Linked DNA regions of Oryctolagus cuniculus. The protein of the gene in region 1 interacts with the protein of each later gene in a pairwise test. Links are inferred from orthologs where the notes say so. Each region holds a gene or a part of one and is shown in the gene's direction. Other genes may lie near its edges.

What was found.
Region 2: the proteins of TMEM79 (region 1) and RPRM interact in binary tests that used the Homo sapiens proteins (3 or more experiments, as listed by UniProt). The two-hybrid records come from large-scale screens. The link is inferred for Oryctolagus cuniculus from reciprocal best matches to the Homo sapiens genes TMEM79 and RPRM.
Region 3: the proteins of TMEM79 (region 1) and SFTPC interact in binary tests that used the Homo sapiens proteins (3 or more experiments, as listed by UniProt). The two-hybrid records come from large-scale screens. The link is inferred for Oryctolagus cuniculus from reciprocal best matches to the Homo sapiens genes TMEM79 and SFTPC.
Region 4: the proteins of TMEM79 (region 1) and RNF8 interact in binary tests that used the Homo sapiens proteins (3 or more experiments, as listed by UniProt). The two-hybrid records come from large-scale screens. The link is inferred for Oryctolagus cuniculus from reciprocal best matches to the Homo sapiens genes TMEM79 and RNF8.
Region 5: the proteins of TMEM79 (region 1) and SLN interact in binary tests that used the Homo sapiens proteins (3 or more experiments, as listed by UniProt). The two-hybrid records come from large-scale screens. The link is inferred for Oryctolagus cuniculus from reciprocal best matches to the Homo sapiens genes TMEM79 and SLN.

Annotation. Positions count from the first base shown.
Region 1 is NC_091438.1:42,422,898-42,426,378, reverse strand, and holds the end of TMEM79 (transmembrane protein 79), read left to right. Parts: intron 1-2,618; coding exon 2,619-2,832; 3' UTR 2,833-2,980; downstream 2,981-3,481.
Region 2 is NC_091434.1:88,453,707-88,456,956, forward strand, and holds RPRM (protein reprimo), read left to right. Parts: upstream 1-1,376; 5' UTR 1,377-1,517; coding exon 1,518-1,847; 3' UTR 1,848-2,743; downstream 2,744-3,250. UniProt on the Homo sapiens protein: May be involved in the regulation of p53-dependent G2 arrest of the cell cycle. Seems to induce cell cycle arrest by inhibiting CDK1 activity and nuclear translocation of the CDC2 cyclin B1 complex.
Region 3 is NC_091439.1:1,147,296-1,151,546, reverse strand, and holds the start of SFTPC (surfactant protein C), read left to right. Parts: upstream 1-1,450; 5' UTR 1,451-1,560; coding exon 1,561-1,602; intron 1,603-2,903; coding exon 2,904-3,062; intron 3,063-3,328; coding exon 3,329-3,451; intron 3,452-3,660; coding exon 3,661-3,762; intron 3,763-4,024; coding exon 4,025-4,165; 3' UTR 4,166-4,172; intron 4,173-4,251. UniProt on the Homo sapiens protein: Pulmonary surfactant associated proteins promote alveolar stability by lowering the surface tension at the air-liquid interface in the peripheral air spaces.
Region 4 is NC_091436.1:132,255,195-132,258,708, reverse strand, and holds part of RNF8 (E3 ubiquitin-protein ligase RNF8), read left to right. Parts: intron 1-67; coding exon 68-175; intron 176-3,420; coding exon 3,421-3,514. UniProt on the Homo sapiens protein: E3 ubiquitin-protein ligase that plays a key role in DNA damage signaling via 2 distinct roles: by mediating the 'Lys-63'-linked ubiquitination of histones H2A and H2AX and promoting the recruitment of DNA repair proteins at double-strand breaks (DSBs) sites, and by catalyzing 'Lys-48'-linked ubiquitination to remove target proteins from DNA damage sites.
Region 5 is NC_091432.1:99,520,903-99,525,050, reverse strand, and holds the start of SLN (sarcolipin), read left to right. Parts: upstream 1-1,337; 5' UTR 1,338-1,431; intron 1,432-4,148. UniProt on the Homo sapiens protein: Reversibly inhibits the activity of ATP2A1/SERCA1 and ATP2A2/SERCA2 in sarcoplasmic reticulum by decreasing the apparent affinity of the ATPase for Ca(2+). Also inhibits the activity of ATP2A3/SERCA3.

The DNA of each region.
Region 1 (3,481 bases):
CGGGTCTCCCTCGTGGGTGCAGGGGCCCAAGGACTTGGGCCATCTTCCAGTTTTTCCAGGCCACAGCAGGGAGCTGGGTCGGAGGTGGAGCAGCCAGGACACAAACCCGTGCTCATAGAGATACTGACACTGTAGGCGGCGGCTTAACCCACTAAGCGCTGACCCCCTCTTGTTACTTTCAGTAAAGGATTCCAGACAGCTTTAACTTCTCAAATATTCTCATTGAGCTACAAGTAGTCTTCTTGTGGCTTCTGGTTATAGTTGCATGGTCAGCTGGTCCTCTTGACCAACATGTGGCCTTAATGTTTCTCTCCCCGTAGATCTCCCAAGAGAAATATGTTCCTCCCGTGTAATCCAACCTCCCCTTCCTGACTCTTGGGGGATACTGGGCTCAGACAAAAGTGGCCTCAAGCAGTGAGAATTGTCAGAGAGTTAAGGAAGACTCGGTGACTGGTGGGTCCACATTTCCCATTTTAGAAAGCGGAAATCAGGAGAGGCTGGGGGAGAAGAGTTGCTCAGGGCTGGAAAGCAGAGCCCTTGCCTCTGCCACTCAGGGCTGTCTGCTCCATGCAAATTCCTTGATTATCTGCTGTCTGTCTTCATCTCTAAGTTGGAGTTGTGAGGATTAAAGGATCTCACGCACGGAGCGCTTACTGATGCATTTAGTGAGACTCGGCTCAGCCTGTCCTCTCCGATGTCCAGCTGCCTCCTGCAGCAGAGTGCCGTCACTCACTCTCCCCGCGCCCAGCCTCTTCCACAGGTGAACCAAGCACAGGCAGCTCAATTTTGTAGCAACTGGCCCTTCACATACCCGGAGGAAGTTGCTCTCCCTCCCCTCGTTGGGCGATGTGTGCTTTGAGTGGATCTTCCAAGAGGGCGGATTTGCTTGTGGCTGCTCCATCCCTCTGAGCTTAAAGCTTTCTTCTTTTATTAAAAAATATTGATTGAGATTGATTAGCAAGTCAGAGTTAGAGAGAGAGAGAGAAGGGGAGACAGAGACAGCGAGATCTTCTATCCTCTGGTTTACTCCCTAGATGACCACAAAGGCCAGTACTCAGGCTGAAGCCAGCAGCCAGGAGCTTCATCTGGGTCTCTCCCATGGGTGCAGGGGCCCAAGCACTTGGGCCATCTTCCAGTGCTTTCCTAGGCTATTAGCAGGGAGCTGGATTGGAAGTGGAGCAGCCAGGATTCGAACTGGCGCCCGTATGGGATGCTGGCGTTGCAGCTGGCAGCTTTACCTGCTACACCACAATGCCGGCCCCTGAAACCCTCTTGAAGCTGGTTTCCTTACTCTCTGCTTTTCTTCCATTCTTCTAAAAAGGCCTGAGAGGGGGTGATAACAGGCTTGGGTTCAAATCATGGCTTTGCTATGTCCCAGATGTGTGAGTTTGGGCCAGTCTTACTTAACCCCTTTGGAATCTTAGTTTCTTCACCTGCAAAAGGGTAATTAGCTACCATGGAACCACACTACAGCTGTAAAAGAATGAGGAAACTGTTTATATATGGATATAAAATGATCTCCAAGATACAAGTATATTAAATGAGGGAAAATCAACATGCAAAACAGTCTATATAATATGCTACTGATTCAAAAAAGGAAAAAAAAAACAAATATTTTGTTCATATATGCAAAAAAAATCATTCCATGCACAAGAAACCTAATATCGCTTGCCTAGGGTGGAGAGGGGGTAGAATAGGGCAGAGATCACTACAGGGAGGAAGGTACTAACTGTACTTATTGACCTTTGAACCATGTATATGGTCCACTCAAAAATCTTAAAAATTATTTATTTGAGAGGCAGGGAGGGAGACAGAGTGAGCCCTGAGGACTTCCATTCACTGGTTCACTCTCCGAATGTTCCACAGTGGCTGGGGCGGGGACAAAGCAAAGCGAGGAGCCAGAAACCCAAGCGAGGTCTCCCGTGTGGATGGCAGGGATCCAAGTACTTGAGCCATCACCCCCTGCCTTCTCGGGTGCGTGTTAGCAGGAAGCTGGCATAGGGCACAAAAGTGGGACTTGAACCCAGGCATTGTGATAGGTGATGACGGCGTCTTTTTTTTTTTTTAAGACCTACTTATTTATTTATTTGAAAGGCAATGTTACAGAGAGGCAGAGGCAGAAAGAGAGAGGGGAGAAAGTCTTCCATCCTCTGGTTCACTCCCCAAACAGCCCCAACGGCCAGAGCTGCGCTGATCCGAAGCCAGGAGCTTCTTCCGAGTTTCCCACCAGAGTGCAGGGGCCCAAGGACTTGGGCCATCCTCTACTGCCTTCCCAGGCTATAGCAGAGCTGGAACGGAAGCCGAGCAGCCAGGACTCGAACCGGCATCCCATATGGGCACCGGCACTGCAAGTGGCTGCTTTACCCGCTACACCACAGCGCTGACCCCTGTCTTAACTGCTAGGCTAAACGCCCACTAGCACACACAAAAAACTTTTAATTGAAACTTAAAAGCAAATAATTAAAAGAGGGAGGGGAATAATACAGGCATCTCAGTGGGGTGTGGAGAAGTCAAAATTAGCTGGTGCACCTTGCCTAACTGGCACTTGGTACCCGCATAAAGCGCACCGGCCGGTGAGCCGCCGCTCTTCCTAGCCCGGGCCTTTCTCGCCGCCGCAGGCTGATCTACTGGCTGACCTTCGCCGTGGGCCGCTCCTTCCGCGGCTTCGGCTACGGCCTCACCTTCCTGCCGCTGCTGTCCATGCTGGTGTGGAACCTTTACTACATGTTCGTGGTGGAGCCCGAGCGCATGCTCACCGCTGCCGAGAGCCGCCTGGACTACCCGGACCACGCTCGCTCAGCCTCGGACCACAGGCCCCGCCCCTGGGGCTGAGCCGCCCGGCCCGGCCCGGCCCGGCCCTGCCCTGCCCTGCCCTGCCCGGGGCGCGGCGAGCCCGGACTTTGCGCCTACGTGAGGGAGGGAGCCAGTCTTTTCCTCGGCACAGGCCTGTCCTGTTAGGATGCTGAGGGCCTGGCCGGGACGAGCAGGAGAGGCCCAGCCTCCCTCCGCGGCTCCCGGACTCTGCTCCCCCTCGCAGGCACTCCCTGTGCCGCCGCCGCTCTCAGCCAAAGGCCTCCAGGAGGCTGGAGATACTCAGCCATGCCCAAAGACAGAGGCTGAGTTTCAGATCAAGCCAGGACTTCCGGTTTGAGGATGACCTCCCCGGGGGCCTGGGTTCAGGTCCGTTCAAGACGAGCCTGTTGGACTGTTCCGCCCCAGTTCAAAGCTGCTGCCTTCTTTCTCTCCCTTCCAACCTCAGCGGCCCCTGGAACTTCCCACCCCGAAAACTGCCCAGAAGTCCCTCCACGCCCATGGGAAGAGAGGAGGGCCAGGGAAATCTGCCACCCAAGAGGAGCAGGTGTGTGTGTGTGTATCTGAACGCGTGTGCACATGGTGGCGTGGGAATGCTTGGAAGGCACAGTGGCTGATGTTAACCCCCGTGAGTGTGTATATGTATAACAATAAATTGCTACTAGGTCTA
Region 2 (3,250 bases), on another chromosome or scaffold:
CATTTAAGGAAACCTCTGAACGTGGGAAAACCACTTTGGGAGGATAAACATAAGAGGATTTAATAAGCAGAGTGGAATTAAGAGTTGAGTTGAAAATAGCTAAACAGCTACCAGACACTTAGTAAATGCATTCTATCAAAAGATTGCAACAGGCTTCAACTTACTGGTTTCCAGTTCCTAAAGCTGAAAGAACGGAGGAGGAGAAAGAAAAGGAGGGAGAGGGAGGGAGTTTGAAGCATTGTTTTGGAACTTAACATTACTCAATCTGACAGGTTTATAAAATTTCACCCAAACCAACAGCAAAACCTGAATGGGCTGAAGGTTCAATTCCCCCCCACCAAGAAAAAACCCCATCTGGTTTAAAATGACAAAGGGTGAAATACATCCGCTTATGGAAAGCGGGGAGGGCTTTCTGCCGTTGGCCAGCATGCTAGGTGATGGTTGTTGATGAGCAATTCCCTTAAACAACTGATTTACTGCCAACAGACACAAGCGCTGGAAGCACATCCAGAAACTCATCTGCAATTAAAATTGCAAGCAAGTGGTCACTCTGTCCACTCCCTTCCCAGAGAGGTGACCCTGCTCCCGGTAACCACCCCCACAAGGGTCACAGAGGGACACCTCCCTCCTCCAAGCCTCTTTCTTCGGCTTCAAACACCGCTATAAAACCTGCCGCCGCCTCGCCTTTGTAAAGGGTTGTGGGGCTACAGTTCCTTCTTTCCTTCCTCCCTGTCTCTCCCAACTCCCTCCTTCTCTTCCATCTTCCCTCTTCCTTTTCTTTCTAAATGCGCTCCTTTTTCAACGGTGGTCCTCCCAGACCACCCCCAGGGCACCCGGGTCGGTCGCGGAGGGGCGGAGCAAGGCTCAGGCGGCAGGGAGGCTGGTGCCCTGGCCAGCGCCATCTGGCACCTGCACTTCCTTGCCACTTTGCACACGCCCAGAGGTGAGAGGGGCGCCAGGCAACCGGCACACACAGCTCCAGCGTTCCAGCGCCTCTGAAACTTTCAACTGCTCGCACCTTTAACCCGCAAACTCCTCAGTGGTCCAGCAAATCAGAAGAGTCCTGGGACCTCTGCCTGGCCTCTGGAGTTGCCAAAGAGACCAAGCCAGAAAAGCTTTCCCCCACCGCCCAGCGGCGGCGGGCGCAGAGCGACGGCGCGGCCGCAGGGGGCCGCTGTTCGCTCAGAGCAGCTCCCTGTAGCCGCCGCCGCCGCCGCCGCCGCGTCCCGCACCTCCCACGGCGCCACTGGCCCAGCCCCGCCAAGTTCTAACAGCCCCCAGTCGAGCGAGCGCCGCGAGCGAGCACCGCCCGGACCGGAGCGAACAGCGCAGACGATCCGGGCTGCGGTGCGCGTCGGAGAGGCTCCCGGGAGACTCGCACGGCCCGACCGACGACTTTGGCAAGGAGAGCGCCACAAGCCCCGCGCGCCCAAGTCAGCTAGCGAGCGCTCAGCCCGGCACCTGTTCCTCCCGCATATCGGACCCCGCGTCTCCCGGGGCGCCCGCCTTCTCCCGCCATGAATCCGGCGCTGGGCAACCAGACCGACTTGGCGGGCCTGTTCCTGGCCAACAGCAGCGAGGCACTGGAGCGCGCGGTGCGCTGCTGCACCCAGGCGTCCGTGGTGACCGACGACGGCTTCGCCGAGGGCGGCCCGGACGAACGCAGCCTGTACATCATGCGCGTGGTGCAGATCGCGGTCATGTGCGTGCTCTCGCTCACCGTGGTCTTCGGCATCTTCTTCCTCGGCTGCAACCTGCTCATCAAGTCCGAGGGCATGATCAACTTCCTGGTGAAGGACCGGAGACCGTCGAAAGAAGTGGAGGCGGTGGTCGTGGGGCCCTACTGACCGGCCCTGCGGCCCCGCGGCCGCCGCCCCCTCGCCGCCGCCGCGACCCCCGGCCTCAGCGCCTGGGCGATGCAAACCTGTCGGAGTCAAGTATTTGACTTCTGCCTTTGAGGATGAAGCGACCCTTTTCTCTCGCTCACCCTCTGCGAGGCCTCGCAGCTGGCTATAGGCGAGCGCCCTGACTTTTGCACTCTGCAGCAGGTGGCAAGAACAGGGCGATGGGGGCACAGAACTTTGGAAGCTGACTCTCGCGTGGAAAGCGGGGAGACCGGCGGGGCGAAGGCCGCTTTCCACCCGCAGGTGGGCCAAGCGCTTGGAGGTGGCGGGCGGAGGGGGCGGGCTGAGGGGGGGGGGGGCGTCCCAGGGCGAAGATCGCCTGTTGACAGGGAAAGTGGCCACACTACAGACCCGATGGGGACTCACACATCCTGGCCGGGACTGGCGTCCACTGCGTCCCGCTGCCCCTTAGCCCCCCGCGCGTGGGGAGAGGCGCGCCACGAACACCTTTGACTGTAACGTGCCGTCTTCAAGGGATTTTGTGTTTGTGTGCTTGCATACGACTATTCGATGCGTTCTCTTCTGCCCTAGTGGCCCGTTTGCCTGCCGGGGGTGGGGGTGGGGGTAGAGTTTTGTCCTCGCGGGAGAAGGGGGGCGGGGAGGGAGCCTGCGACTGTGGACCGGGTGAGTTGTTCCTTTCCACGCTTTCCCAGCTGGGTCTTTCTGGAGGGCTGGCGCCGCCGCCGCCGCCGGCCCCGGGACAAAGACTCGGAATAGAACTCCTCGTAGCTCGTGACTGCACGGTTTACGCCACAAAAGTGCTCTTGACATCCGTGACACCGTTTCGACTTTCTTTCTTAAACATTTCCTTAATAAATGCGACCTGTAAGTGTTTTGTTCCTGGCCTCCTTCGTGGTCATTCTGCGCTCCCTGGCAGAGGGGGGCGGGCAGCTGTAGAGTCTGCTCCGCGGCCAGGGGAATTTCGCCTTGGAGAGATGCGGTTCGCCTCTCGGGGGTCCGGAGGAGGCGAGGGTGGGGCGACATGGAGAGAGCCCTGAGCCCCGGGCGCAGCGGTCCCCCAGGTAGGCGTGACGATGAGAGGGCCCCCCGCGGGTTCCTGGCCGGCTCCATCGGGAACACGGGGTTACGCCGCTAATGAAAGGCAGGGGTGGCGGGGCCGGCCCGTGGGGGAGGGCGCCTCGCCCCGGCCAGCGCCCGCGGCCCGCGGCACGGCGTCGGTCGGGTGCTGCTCCAGGAGCGTGTGAAAGGCGAGGCGGGGTTGACGCTCTCCGTTACCGACACACGCGGTGTATTGTTGTCTTCCCCTACAATACCTTTGCTAGCCGAAATGAGACTGGAAGAAAGGATCAACGTTTGAGGCTGTGAGCCCGAGTTGATCATCCACA
Region 3 (4,251 bases), on another chromosome or scaffold:
ATCCCAGCGTTGCCAGGACAACCGGGCGGAGGGGGCTCTGGGGAGCAGGCAGGGGTGGGCACGGCCATTGGGCCGGCTCCTACATCTGACACCTGCACTCGGCTGAGGCTGAGCCGAGAGGAGGATGTTGGTCTCTTCCTGCTCCCTGTGCCCCCTCCTCCTCCTCTGTCCTCTCACCCATCGGGGGATCCTCTGTGGCTGCCGGAGGCTTTGGCAAATATTTAAAGGGGCGTTTGGGAGTGAGGAAGGCGGTGAGAGCAAACACTTCCTTTCCTCTCTCCTCCTGGGGCTGCTCAGGGGCCCTCAGAGCAGAGGTCGTGCTGTTGTGCAACCTGGAGAGGAGAGAGGGTCCTTGTGCCAGGGCTGGAGAGTGGGGAGGGTCCAGCTGGTGGCCTGAAGGCAGGGTCGTGGTGTGAGTGAGGCAGGGGACAGGGCTAGGAGTGATACGCTCAAGGAGAGGAGGCCGGGAGAGGGAGGTGCTGGGCTCTGAGTTGACACCCTCATGGCAGCTCCAAGGTGAAGGGGCTTCCCAGCTCACTTGGCTCCCAGAGGGAAGGGGAGCCCAGGCGGAAAGGTACCATCCCCCGCGAAGCCAGCGGCCGATCTGAGAGTGAGCCACGGCCACGGCTTTGGGGAAGGACGTAGGAGAGGGAGAATGGCGGCTGGGTTTGGGGTGGTGGTGACGAGGTCAGAAAGGGGACAGAGTGGGGTGAGTAGCCCTCTGGAATGCCCTTGGTACCAGAGAATATGAAATGCAGAGTGCAGCCGGATGTTGGCGATGATCGGCAGTGTGGAGCAAGCAGGCACAGCTAAGAACAGGGAGACTGGGAGGCGGCCAGTAACCACACCCAGCCCTGTGCAAGGCCGTCGGGGCTGAGGGAGCCGCGTCTGCCATCTAGCAAAGAGTGGAGCAGTGCACATGAGTAAGAGTTTTCCACTGGCGGGCACAGAGTTTCCAAACAGAAAAGAATGACTGGGGGCTAGCCTGAGGTCAGGCAGGCCACGTGTGAGGCGGAATGCATAGAGCGGGAATCCGGCCCTCCCAGAGAAGTGCACACCCAGGAGCCCTCCTGCGCCCCCACCCTAAATCCTTTCAGGGTCTGCTGATGTTGGCTCCTCCGCCCCCTACCCCGAACTCACCCCTAGAAATTCTGCTGGCAGGTGTGGCGGGCGGTCAGACCCTTGGCCGCCTGAGTGGTTCCGCCTGGCAGCAGAACAAGGGTTGCGAGGGCAGGTGCCAGCAAGACAGGCAGGCCGGCCAGGAGACACCCATGGTGAGCGCTGCCGATGGCCGAGGGGCAAGTTTGCTCGGCACACCCAGGCTCGCTGCCGTGCGGGAAGAGGGAGCTCACGTGCCAGGGCCAAGGGCCCTTGGGGGCACTTGTAGCTGGCTTATCAGGGCCTTGGCTCTGGAGGGCCAGGAACAAACAGGCTTCAAAGTCAAGGACTTGGCTGGCAGACAGGGGGCCCGGTCCTTCACCTCTGCCCTCTCTCCGCACGAGCACATATAAAGCCCTGGTCATACCCAGGAGGCGAGGAGAGGCGGGCACCTGTGGCAAGATGGACATGGGCAGCAAAGAGGCCTTGATGGAGAGCCCACCGGTGAGTGCATGGGAGCGCGCGTGTGTGCAGGTGTGTGTGGGACCCTGCCTCCTCCACCCTCCTAGTTAAGATGGGGACTCTTAAGGCCACTGAGACAGAGTCCCTGGGGGAGACAATAATTCCAGTATAAGGAGGTGACGGCCATCACAGGGACTGGTCAGTGGAGTGGGCCGGGAGGCCAGCGTCGTGGCACAGCAGGCTGAGGCATCACCTGCAACACCACCATCCCATATGGGCGCAGGTTCAAGTCTCGGCTGTTCCGCTTCTGATCCAGCTCCCTGCTAATGTGCCTGGGAGAGCAGTGGAGGATGGCCCGAGTACTTGTGTCCCTGCCACCCATGTGAGAGATCTGGATGGAGTTCCAGGCTTCTGGCTTTGGCCTGGATCAGCCCAGGGCCACTGGGGAATGAACCAATGGATGGGAGATCTCTATCTATCTATCAATCTGAAATTCTGCCTTTCAAACAAATAAATAAAGCATTAAACACAAATCTAAGGTCTCTTTTATTAAAAAAATGGAGAGGGTAGTGGAGGGAGGAGCCACTGAGTACTCAGGGGGTTGCACGAAGCTTCCAGAGAGAAGGCAGGTAGAGCCAGAAAATACAGAGGAGCTGTCCAGGTAGAGCAGGAGGGCTTTGCAGGAAGGTGGGGGAGTGTGGATGAAGGCACGGCAGTGTAGGCGAGCCTGGGCCATCTGTGGAACACAGGGTCTGGCTATGGCTGGGTGCCAGGGAATTCGGAGAAATAGCAGGAGACGAGCCCTGGCCAAACAGGCCACCCTGGGTCCCTGCACACGAGGCCTTGGGTTTGCTAGAATCCAGGTCACTTCTTCCAGGGAGCCTCCTCTGGTCGTCACAGCCCTCCCCTGCACATGGGTGGCATTGGCGTTGGCTGTCCATCCCTCTGGGTGCATGTGTGTGAGTGGGTGTGTGCACGTGTGGTGTTGGCTCTGAGTGTGTCTGTGTGAGCACGTGTGTGTGGCGTTGGCTGTCCATCCCTCTGGGTGCATGTGTGTGAGTGGGTGTGTGCACGTGTGGTGTTGGCTCTGAGTGTGTCTGTGTGAGCACGTGTGTGTGGCTTTGGCTGTCCATCCCTCTGGGTGCATGTGTGTGAGTGGGTGTGTGCACGTGTGGTGTTGGCTCTGAGTGTGTCTGTGTGAGCACGTGTGTGTGGCTTTGGCTGTCTATCCCTCTGAGTGTGTGTGTGTGCGTCTGTGTGGCTTTGGTGGTCCAACCTTCTGAGTGTGCGTGTGGCCGAGGTGTCCAGCTGGCACGGGTCTCACTGCTGCCCCCTGCCGGCAGGACTACTCAGCAGCTCCCCGGGGCCGCTTCGGCATCCCCTGCTGCCCAGTGCACCTCAAACGTCTTCTCATCGTGGTCGTCGTGGTGGTCCTCGTGGTCGTGGTGATTGTGGGGGCCCTGCTCATGGGGCTCCACATGAGCCAGAAACACACCGAGATGGTGAGCAGGCGCGGGGCTGGGGTGAGCAGCGGGTGGGTGAGGGTGGGGGCAAGCCGCCCCGGAGCTGGGTGGGCTGGGCCAGGGGAATGCCAGGGTGCAGTGTGGAGGGAGAGGGGCGGAGATGGGGGCGGGCCAACCTGGCCTGGGCTTCCACTCGGGCCCCTGAGCTCTCTCTGCAGAGAAAGAAACTGCATCTGGGTAAAGAGAGGGGAGGGGGCCATGGGCACTGGAGTGGGGGACAGGAGTGCCAGGAACATCTCCCCCAGGTCCTAGAGATGAGCATCGGGGCGCCGGAGGTCCAGCAGCGCCTGGCACTGAGCGAGTGGGCGGGCACCACGGCCACTTTCCCCATCGGCTCCACCGGCATTGTCACCTGCGACTACCAGCGGGTAGGCTGCCTGCACCCCTAGGGCCACAGGCTGTGCCGCTTCATCACATCCGCCTCTCCCCCCTCTCCCTGGGTGGGGGGTAGAGGGAAGGCCTGAAACCCAGATTCCAACAGGACTCCTGTGTCCAACCCAGGGGCTGGGTGAGCGCAGGGGTAGGCAGTGAGCGAGGCAGGGGGCCTCTCGACTGACCTGTAGCATGTCACACCCAGCTCCTGATCGCCTATAAGCCAGCCCCGGGAACCTGCTGCTACCTCATGAAGATGGCTCCAGACAGCATCCCCAGTCTGGAGGCTCTGGCTAGAAAATTCCAGGTGGGTGTGTGGGTGAGGGGTGGGGGCTGTCTGCCTCCCAGGCCACACTTGAGATGATGAAGGTACTTGTCACCTGTAAGGCATGCCCAAGTGAGTGCCCACCTCTCCATCCTCACCTGCACCTGCCTCCCCTACCTGTTCCCCCTCCTCCAAGTGCATGGCCTCAGCTGAGCCCACGCAGCCCTGCCTAAGGTCCCACCAATAAGGGCTCCAGGTGTGACAGGCTCTGGGTCCCCAGACTCCAAGTTGGTATTCTTCCCAGGCCAACCCTGCAGAGCCTCCCACTCAGCGGGGCCAGGACAAGGGGCCAGCCGCAGGCCCGGCGTCCTCCGGAGGAGAGCTGGCCTTCCTGGGCGCGGCCGTGAGCACCCTGTGTGGGGAGGTGCCTCTCATCTACATCTAGGACTCAGGTGAGCAGGTGGAGGAGGGCTTGGGCCACCGGCCACCTGCGGCGGACCAGGCGCTGGGGACCCAGCCAGGCTCACTCCC
Region 4 (3,514 bases), on another chromosome or scaffold:
CCCCGTCCTGTTTTGTGCTCCTTTTGGTTCTCCCAGATGACAGACAGGGTTGTGTGTGTTTTCACAGGAAGAGAAGGAGAAGGTACAAGCACAGAAGGAGGAAGTTCTTAGTCAGATGAATGACGTGCTAGAAAATGAACTCCAATGTATTATTTGCTCAGAATACTTCATTGAGGTAATTATGACCAGTGGCGCACCCCTTCTCACTCTCCCAGCACGGAACGGAACCTGGACCATGCATGCTGCTTCTGCCAAAGAAACACTCTGAAGAGATTTTTCTTCTAGGAATTTATAACTATTTGTTTGGTATGGTTAACATTTTTAGCTGCAATAAAGCCTTTCTCTCTTTGTTGTTAGGATGGGGGAAACCAGATCACATAGCCGAAGTATCAGAATGAAGCAGCCCGGAAATACTTCTCTCTCTTTACTCTGAATGGACACAAAGCTAAGAGTAGGCTTGTAGTGTAGTTTTTAAAATTAAATTTATTTGAGAAACAGGTGAAGAAAGCTCCCATCCATTGGTTCTCTCTCCACATACCCACAGTGACAGGCCTCAGAACATGGATGGCAGGAACCCATTCACTTGCTTCATCACCACTGTCTCTCAGGGTATGAGTTAGCAGGAGACTAGAGTCAGGAGCCAGAATTGCAGTTCAGGTCTCCACATAATGGCAGGAGCTCCATTACTTGAGCCTTCACTGCTGCCTACCAGGGTCTGTGTTAGGAAACTGGAATCGGGAGCCAGAATCAGGAATCAAACTCAGATGTGAGATCTGGCATCTTAACTGCTAAACTAAATACCTGCTTCTGCCATGCAGCCTTTCAAAGCAGAATGGTCAGTGCCATTGATGTGTGGTCATTTTGGGAATTCAGAATTCAAAAGCCACGTAGAATATATTTCAGGACCTTCAGGCTCCTTGTGAAATGAAATACCTCTCCCCGAGGCTCCCATTTATTGTCCTGTCATCTTTCTTTTTTTTTTTTTTAAACAGATTTTACATCCACTGATTCACTCCCCAAATGGCTACAGTGGCTGGGGCTGGGTCAGGCGAAAGCCAGGAGTCAGGAGCTTATTTTGAATCTGCCACATGAGTGCAGGGCCTCAAGCACTTTCCCAACTGCACTAACAAGGAGCTGAATAGGAAGTGGATCAGCCGGGTCTTGAACCGGTACCCATATGGGATGCCGGCATCACAAGCTGTGGCTTTATCTGCTACACCACAGTGCTGGCCCCTGTACAAGATAAATACAAGCACCAGCTCTTGTATTTTTCAGAGGTCCTCCCATTTGTGACCAGTACAGCTTAGACCACAAGTGTTAAACTCAGGTTGTTAGACGACAGTGCTTTTCCGACTGATTAACAAAGGCAAACACACATACACACTGCATCCTTTTCTCAAGCAGTCTTTAAGGAGGCTGAGTCTGTTAGCCTCCTGAAAAAACCTCTCTCTCCTGGGCAACCTGTTTTTTCTTTTTTTTTTTCTGGATTCATTTTGACTTCTGGTCATAATTTCCTGCATAGTTTTTAGCTAGATGATTCCCTACTTTGGAGAAACTCAGTGTTGTTTTGACAGGGCTTATGGTCTCTGGTAAAGAAAGACAAGGAAAGGGACGTTGGAATGGGTGATAAGTTAGCCAGCTCAGAGTATTTGCATAGACATGAAAGAGACAAACGCTTTGACCTATGTTTTGTCACGGAGTACTGACCTATTCTGCTAGCAACCGCTTAAAGTCAGTCTTAGATGTTTCATTTTAACAAAGCATTTTGGCTGGTGCTGCGGCTCAATAGGCTAATCCTCCACCTGCAGCACTGGCACCCCGGGTTCTAGTCCCGGTCAGGGTACCGGATTCTGTCCTGGTTGCTCCTCTTCCAGTCCAGCTCTCTGCTGTGGCCCGGGAGTGCAGTGGAGAATGGCCCAAGTCCGTGGGCCCTGCACCCACATGGGAAACCGGGAAAAGCACCTGGCTCCTGGCTTCAGATCAGCGCGGTGTGCCGGCCGCAGCGGCCATTGGAGGGTGAACCAATGGAAAAAAAAGACCTTTCTCTCTGTCTGTCTCTCTCACTGTCCACTCTGCCTGTCCAAAAAAAAAAAAAAAAAAAAAAAAAAAAATTAAAAAAAAGCATTTTTAGCATTTTTAATCTTGTTTATGAGGGTTTACTTCATGAACTTCATAACACTTCATAATGAAAAATATATTCTAGTTTTCTGATTTTGTGAGTTCAGCTTGCTATTGAAAAATGTATAACTTAGATGTTATTTTCCACTGCTTATCTTAAAAGCAGAAATGAGGATTTTTAAACTTCAGAAAAAGTTGTATCTTAGAAGATACATACATCCATACATATGTGTATCTATATTATATATATAACATATATATATATATATATGTATGAACAAGAGTGACAAGGAAGGGGCTAACATGGTAGCACCACAGGTTATGCTGCTGCTTGCAATGCCAGTGTCCCATACTGGAGTGCTGGTTTGGGTCCCCACTGCTCTGCTTCCGGCTCAGCTTCTACTTAATGAGCCTGAGAAGGCAGCAGGAGATGGCCCAGATACGTGGGCCCCTGAAACCATGTGGGAGACCAGGATGAAGTTCAGGCTCCTGGCTTTGGCCTAGCCCAGACCTGGCTGTTGGGGCCATTTGAGGAATAAACAGTGAATGGAAGACCTCTCTCTCTCTCTGTCTATCCCTCTCTCTGCCCCTCTGCCTTTCAAATAAATAAACACATCTTTAAAAAAGAGAGAGAGAATGGTTTATACTCTTGGGAGTGAAAAAAAAATCTGACCAGAGGGAGTGCTCAGAGAAGCCCTGAATCACAGGCTTTGTCCTGCGGTCTCTCTTTGTGGATGTGTTTGCCTATAAGTTCAGGCACTGTCAGTGAACCCATTATGTATTTCACATTTTGGCTTCTTTAAAGATGTTACCTCCTACCATTCTATACATTAAGTGGTCAGTATTCACTTACACTTGGTATACTAAAATTGAGGTTGTAACTCACAAGTAGCAGTAGCTGTTTGTTTTTAATTATAGAATTAGTTTGTTTTTAATAAGAGAATTAGTTTTACATTTGTATGTTCATACACTTACTCATCCTGCTGTGTCCAGTGGCATTTGTCACTCTCAGGATGGTTGACCCACATTGGCAGTGTGGTTGACTTAGGGGAACAAAGCAGACAAATCAGCCTATCCAGGACCTGAGTCTGTAACCTTAACTTTGAGAAGGTACAGCACGGATTGTCTAACATGAAACCTAAAATTTCCCAGCCCAAGAATGATTCTGATACTACAATCCACATAGAAGTGTAGTTATCTTTTTGGTTGGCCTTGGAAAATAGCTCCTGTCCTAGCTTTGAGAATGAACTGCCAAGAAAGTAAGTGTGAAAGTTGTGATGTGTGTTCCTGTTCCCACTGTAGGCTGTCACCTTGAACTGTGCCCATAGTTTCTGCTCCTACTGTATCAAAGAATGGATGAAGAGGAAGATAGAATGCCCCATTTGTCGCAAGGACA
Region 5 (4,148 bases), on another chromosome or scaffold:
ATTAACCCTGACTGGGAATTCAGAGGGGGATTGCTCTATTATAAAGAAGGGATTTGCTGAGCAAACACAACTGCTGGGGTCAGATTTAAGGTGCTTAACTGACTTATTTTGAAGTCCAATTAAACCCTTCAGAGGCTCTATTTATCTTCAAACATCTGATTTGTTGGTTGCAAACTCATTTAGCCTGTATTCATAAAGAAAGTTATATAATTTGACATCTTCCACATTTATTCAATAACTCAGGTTTTTCAAAAATTTTGACCAGTTCTATTTCTAGCCCCAATCTATCGAAATGACTATGTCTTGCCATTTGAATTTACTGCTATATTAGTTTACTGACAGAGATAGACAAACCACGCCTCTCTCAGCTGTTTCAGATGAAACTGTAGATTAAGGTGTAAACTTGCAATGCACTGTTTAGCTGGAAAGTTATGGGGAGCAGGTGATGGAAGAGATAACTTTCACTGTTTGGACTAAAGTCAATTTTGAAGCAGCTCAAGATGTCTTTTGAATTCTGGATCGTGGTGTGTGTGTGTGTGTGTGTGTGTGTGTGTGTGTGTGTTGGAGAGAGAGAGAGAGAACTCTTTATATTGCAAACAGCTAAAGATATAGGTGGTAACACAAAGTCACATCTTTACACCTAGGCCTGCTCAGTAGTGGGAGTGGCCAGATGCTGCACTGATTTTTAAAAATTATTTTATCTGGCTGGCGCCGCAGCTCATTAGGCTAATCCTCTGCCTTGCGGCGCCGGCACACCGGGTTCTAGTCCCGGTCGGGACGCCGGATTCTGGCCCGGTTGCCCCTCTTCCAGTCCAGCTCTCTGCTGTGGCCCGGGAGTGCAGTGAAGGATGGCCCAAGTCCTTGGGCCCTGCACCCCATGGGAGACCAGGATAAGTACCTGGCTCCTGCCATCGGATCAGCGCGGTGCGCCGGCCGTGGCGGCCATTGGAGGGTGAACCAATGGCAAAGGAAGACCTTTCTCTCTGTCTCTCTCTCTCTCACTGTCCACTCTGCCTGTCAAAAAAAAAATTATTTTATCACTAATGGTTTGTGATGTTTTTAAAGATAAGTTAGATGTATTCATGAAAATGCAAAGGATCAATTTAAAATCCACATCAAGTGCACCAAAAGGGAACTGGAAATAGAAGTTTTAGTGCCCTTTGATGTTTAAATAAATTGGCAACCGAAGAAACAGTCTTAGTCAACATATTTCCAAGTCCCCCTGAACACAAATAGCCTCAAACCTTCAGGGTTATTCCTTTCAGCTGTTTCATCAGTGACATCACAGTGTCACCTCCCTTGGACTACTTTAGGCCCTGCCCAGAGCCCAGGAGTCCACACAGCCTGGGAGATGAGCCGGAGTTGGAGCCAGAGTTGGAGAAAGTAAGGAGAAACCTACAGCAGCCAACGTGTGTCCTTGACCTTCTTCAGGTAACAGCAAGGTTTTTAGGCTTAGCATAGGGTGCATGTGTGTGTGTGTGTGTGTGTGTGTGTGTGCAAGTTTTAAATGAGAAAGGCAGAATGTTTACATATCTTAATAAAATAGGCAATACCTACCTTAAGATGTAAAGTCATTCCTATTTTCTTCATGCATGTTTCCCCTTCCGATAGTTACAAAACTTTCTTTATAGCACAGAAGAAAGTCTTTAATTTTCTCAAAGACTCCATTGATTCCAAAGTCAAACTTCCTGTCCAATTTATTCATAGATTTTTGGTTTTCAGTTCATCCATATGGCAATCTCTTTGGATCATATGGCATGAACTTGACTTCAGGAAAGGTTTAAGTTGAAGCCAATAGAACTTGATTGATCTGGATTTTTGCCTAAATTTGGATATTCCTAAAAGGCATAAATGTGTGTGTGAGTAAAGTCTACAGTTAATTGTGAGCACACATATTGAAAGAAATGGATTCTTTAGAAATTGTCATCTTAACTGTGTTCTAGTCATTTAAAGAATACACGAAATAATAAATACTTAAGTTCACCATCAAAGTGCAAAAAATAGTAGGAGGTAAAGCAGAGGAAAGAAAGAATAATAATAGATAGCCTGTCAATTCAGAGATGACTATAAAGCAATATGAAGAACACATAAAACATACACAGTTTAAGACATAATTTTAGGGTATCAATTGTATAGCTGTCACCCAGGGCAGGAAGCAGTTCCTTGTTAGCATCCCAGAAATCTGTGCCTGATTACCTCCCCTGCTGTCCCAAGATGTTGAGATCATCTTGTCCTGGTTTTTATTTAAAATTTTACTAACCTTAATATTGCGATAAAGTTCCATGTTTTTTATGTTAAATAGATGGAGTCATTTTGTTCTCTTGCAAACTATCTTACACCCAACAATTATATTTCTGAGATCCACACATTTTTGTTTTGTGTAGCTATAACTGAAATCCATGTATTTTCTTTCTACTCTAGTATTAAAATGTATCAATATGCCAAGTTCTACTATTATTTCCAATTTGGGATTATTGTGAAAATGTTTCTGTGAATACCCTTGTATATGTGTCCTGGTGCGTATGCACTTAAGCATCTGGGGTGGAAGTAAAATTGTTAGATACTAGGAGATGAGCATTTTTAAGCTTCAAAAATGTCAAATAGTTTCCCAAAGTGGTTGAAAATTCACACTAATTTTGTTTATTCAGACTAGTTCTTCGCCAGTGATAACTCTTTCTTGTAATCACTCCTTTGGAGTGACCACAATCCTAGTAACTAGTTCCAGTCAGCCATTCCTAGGCCTGCCTCTAATTTGCTGCCTTTAATGTGCCACCACACAAACAACTTAACCATTCTCTAAAAGTTATTTTTTTCCAGCTGTAATCTTGGGGGAGATAAAAATCACAATAATACTTATGTGAGTTTTTGTGAAGATAACAAAAGCATTTTTCTTATTTCCTGTTAGGCCATCATCCAAGACTCCCTTTACTTAAGAGCTTAATTTAAACAGCAGATTTGGTGGAGCAATTATTTTCCTCCCCCTGAATTGGGTTGTTTTGATCATTAAATACAGGATATTTACTGTATATCTGGAGAAGTTACCCAAGAAAGTGGGTATTTGGACCAGGGTTTGATTTCATTTAGAAAATCCTAAGGGAGAGTCTGTCTTTGTTTCTCATTCCTTTGCCTTTGCTCCTTGACTGGACTCACTGCCCTCCTGTTGCCTTCTTGCACTTGCTCTCCTCCTTTATGCGTTAATTTTCTTCTGTTCATTTTCTCCTCCAAGCAAATGTCTGTAAAGATTTTCATTAGCAATGTAGTACTTCCTTCATGCTGAGGGCCAAACGATGGATAAGAATTAAGAGGGAAATGAAACATTAACCAGTCTCATTCACCATATTTTGAACCAAGATTCAATAACCTAGAGGTTGCTATCATCTGACTTAATCTGCTCTACCAACAAGTATGCAATATGAACAATGACTATTCATATGTTATTTATGCAATTAATAATTTGGCCATTCATAAGTAATAAATATAGTAGTTATAATTAATAATTTATCATAAGCTAATAACTTGCTAGCAACCCTTTCAGTTCCTGGAGCTCCCACCCTTAACAAACACCTTTCTTCTTTAAAACTTTTCACTCCACAGTAGACTTTTGTTGTAAATATCTAAAGTATAGATATCTAAGAATCTAAAGTACCTAACATATCCAAGTCTTTCATTTAGACCACATAGCAAAATGCCAGTTATATCTCATCACTAAAGTAATAGATTGACTGTAGTGCATGCATTCTCAAAGTATGATTCCCTGCATGTACAATCTGTACACCCTAAGAGGATACCATCCCTGCTCTTTGAAGTGTTTACAATCTAGGCACATCCTGGACTGGACTAAAAATAGCTGGCGCAATCCCTTTTTGAAATAGGAGTACCCATGAGGTTAACACTTGCTCTCTGGACTGAGTATCTGTTGTGTGAGGGACTTTTGATTGACCCTAGTAGGCTCTGTGCCCTGTGCAGGGCTTGTCAGAAGCCACGCAGCTGTTGAAACTGCTTTTCACCAAGGTTGGATGAAGACTTAAAGCAGCCTGAAACTAGAAATATTATGATCTCCCATGCCTATATGGGAAGTCAAAGCAGGAACAACACTGGACCGGAACATTTTTCTGTTTTGGTGCCTTGTATGGTGATCCTTTAAGTTA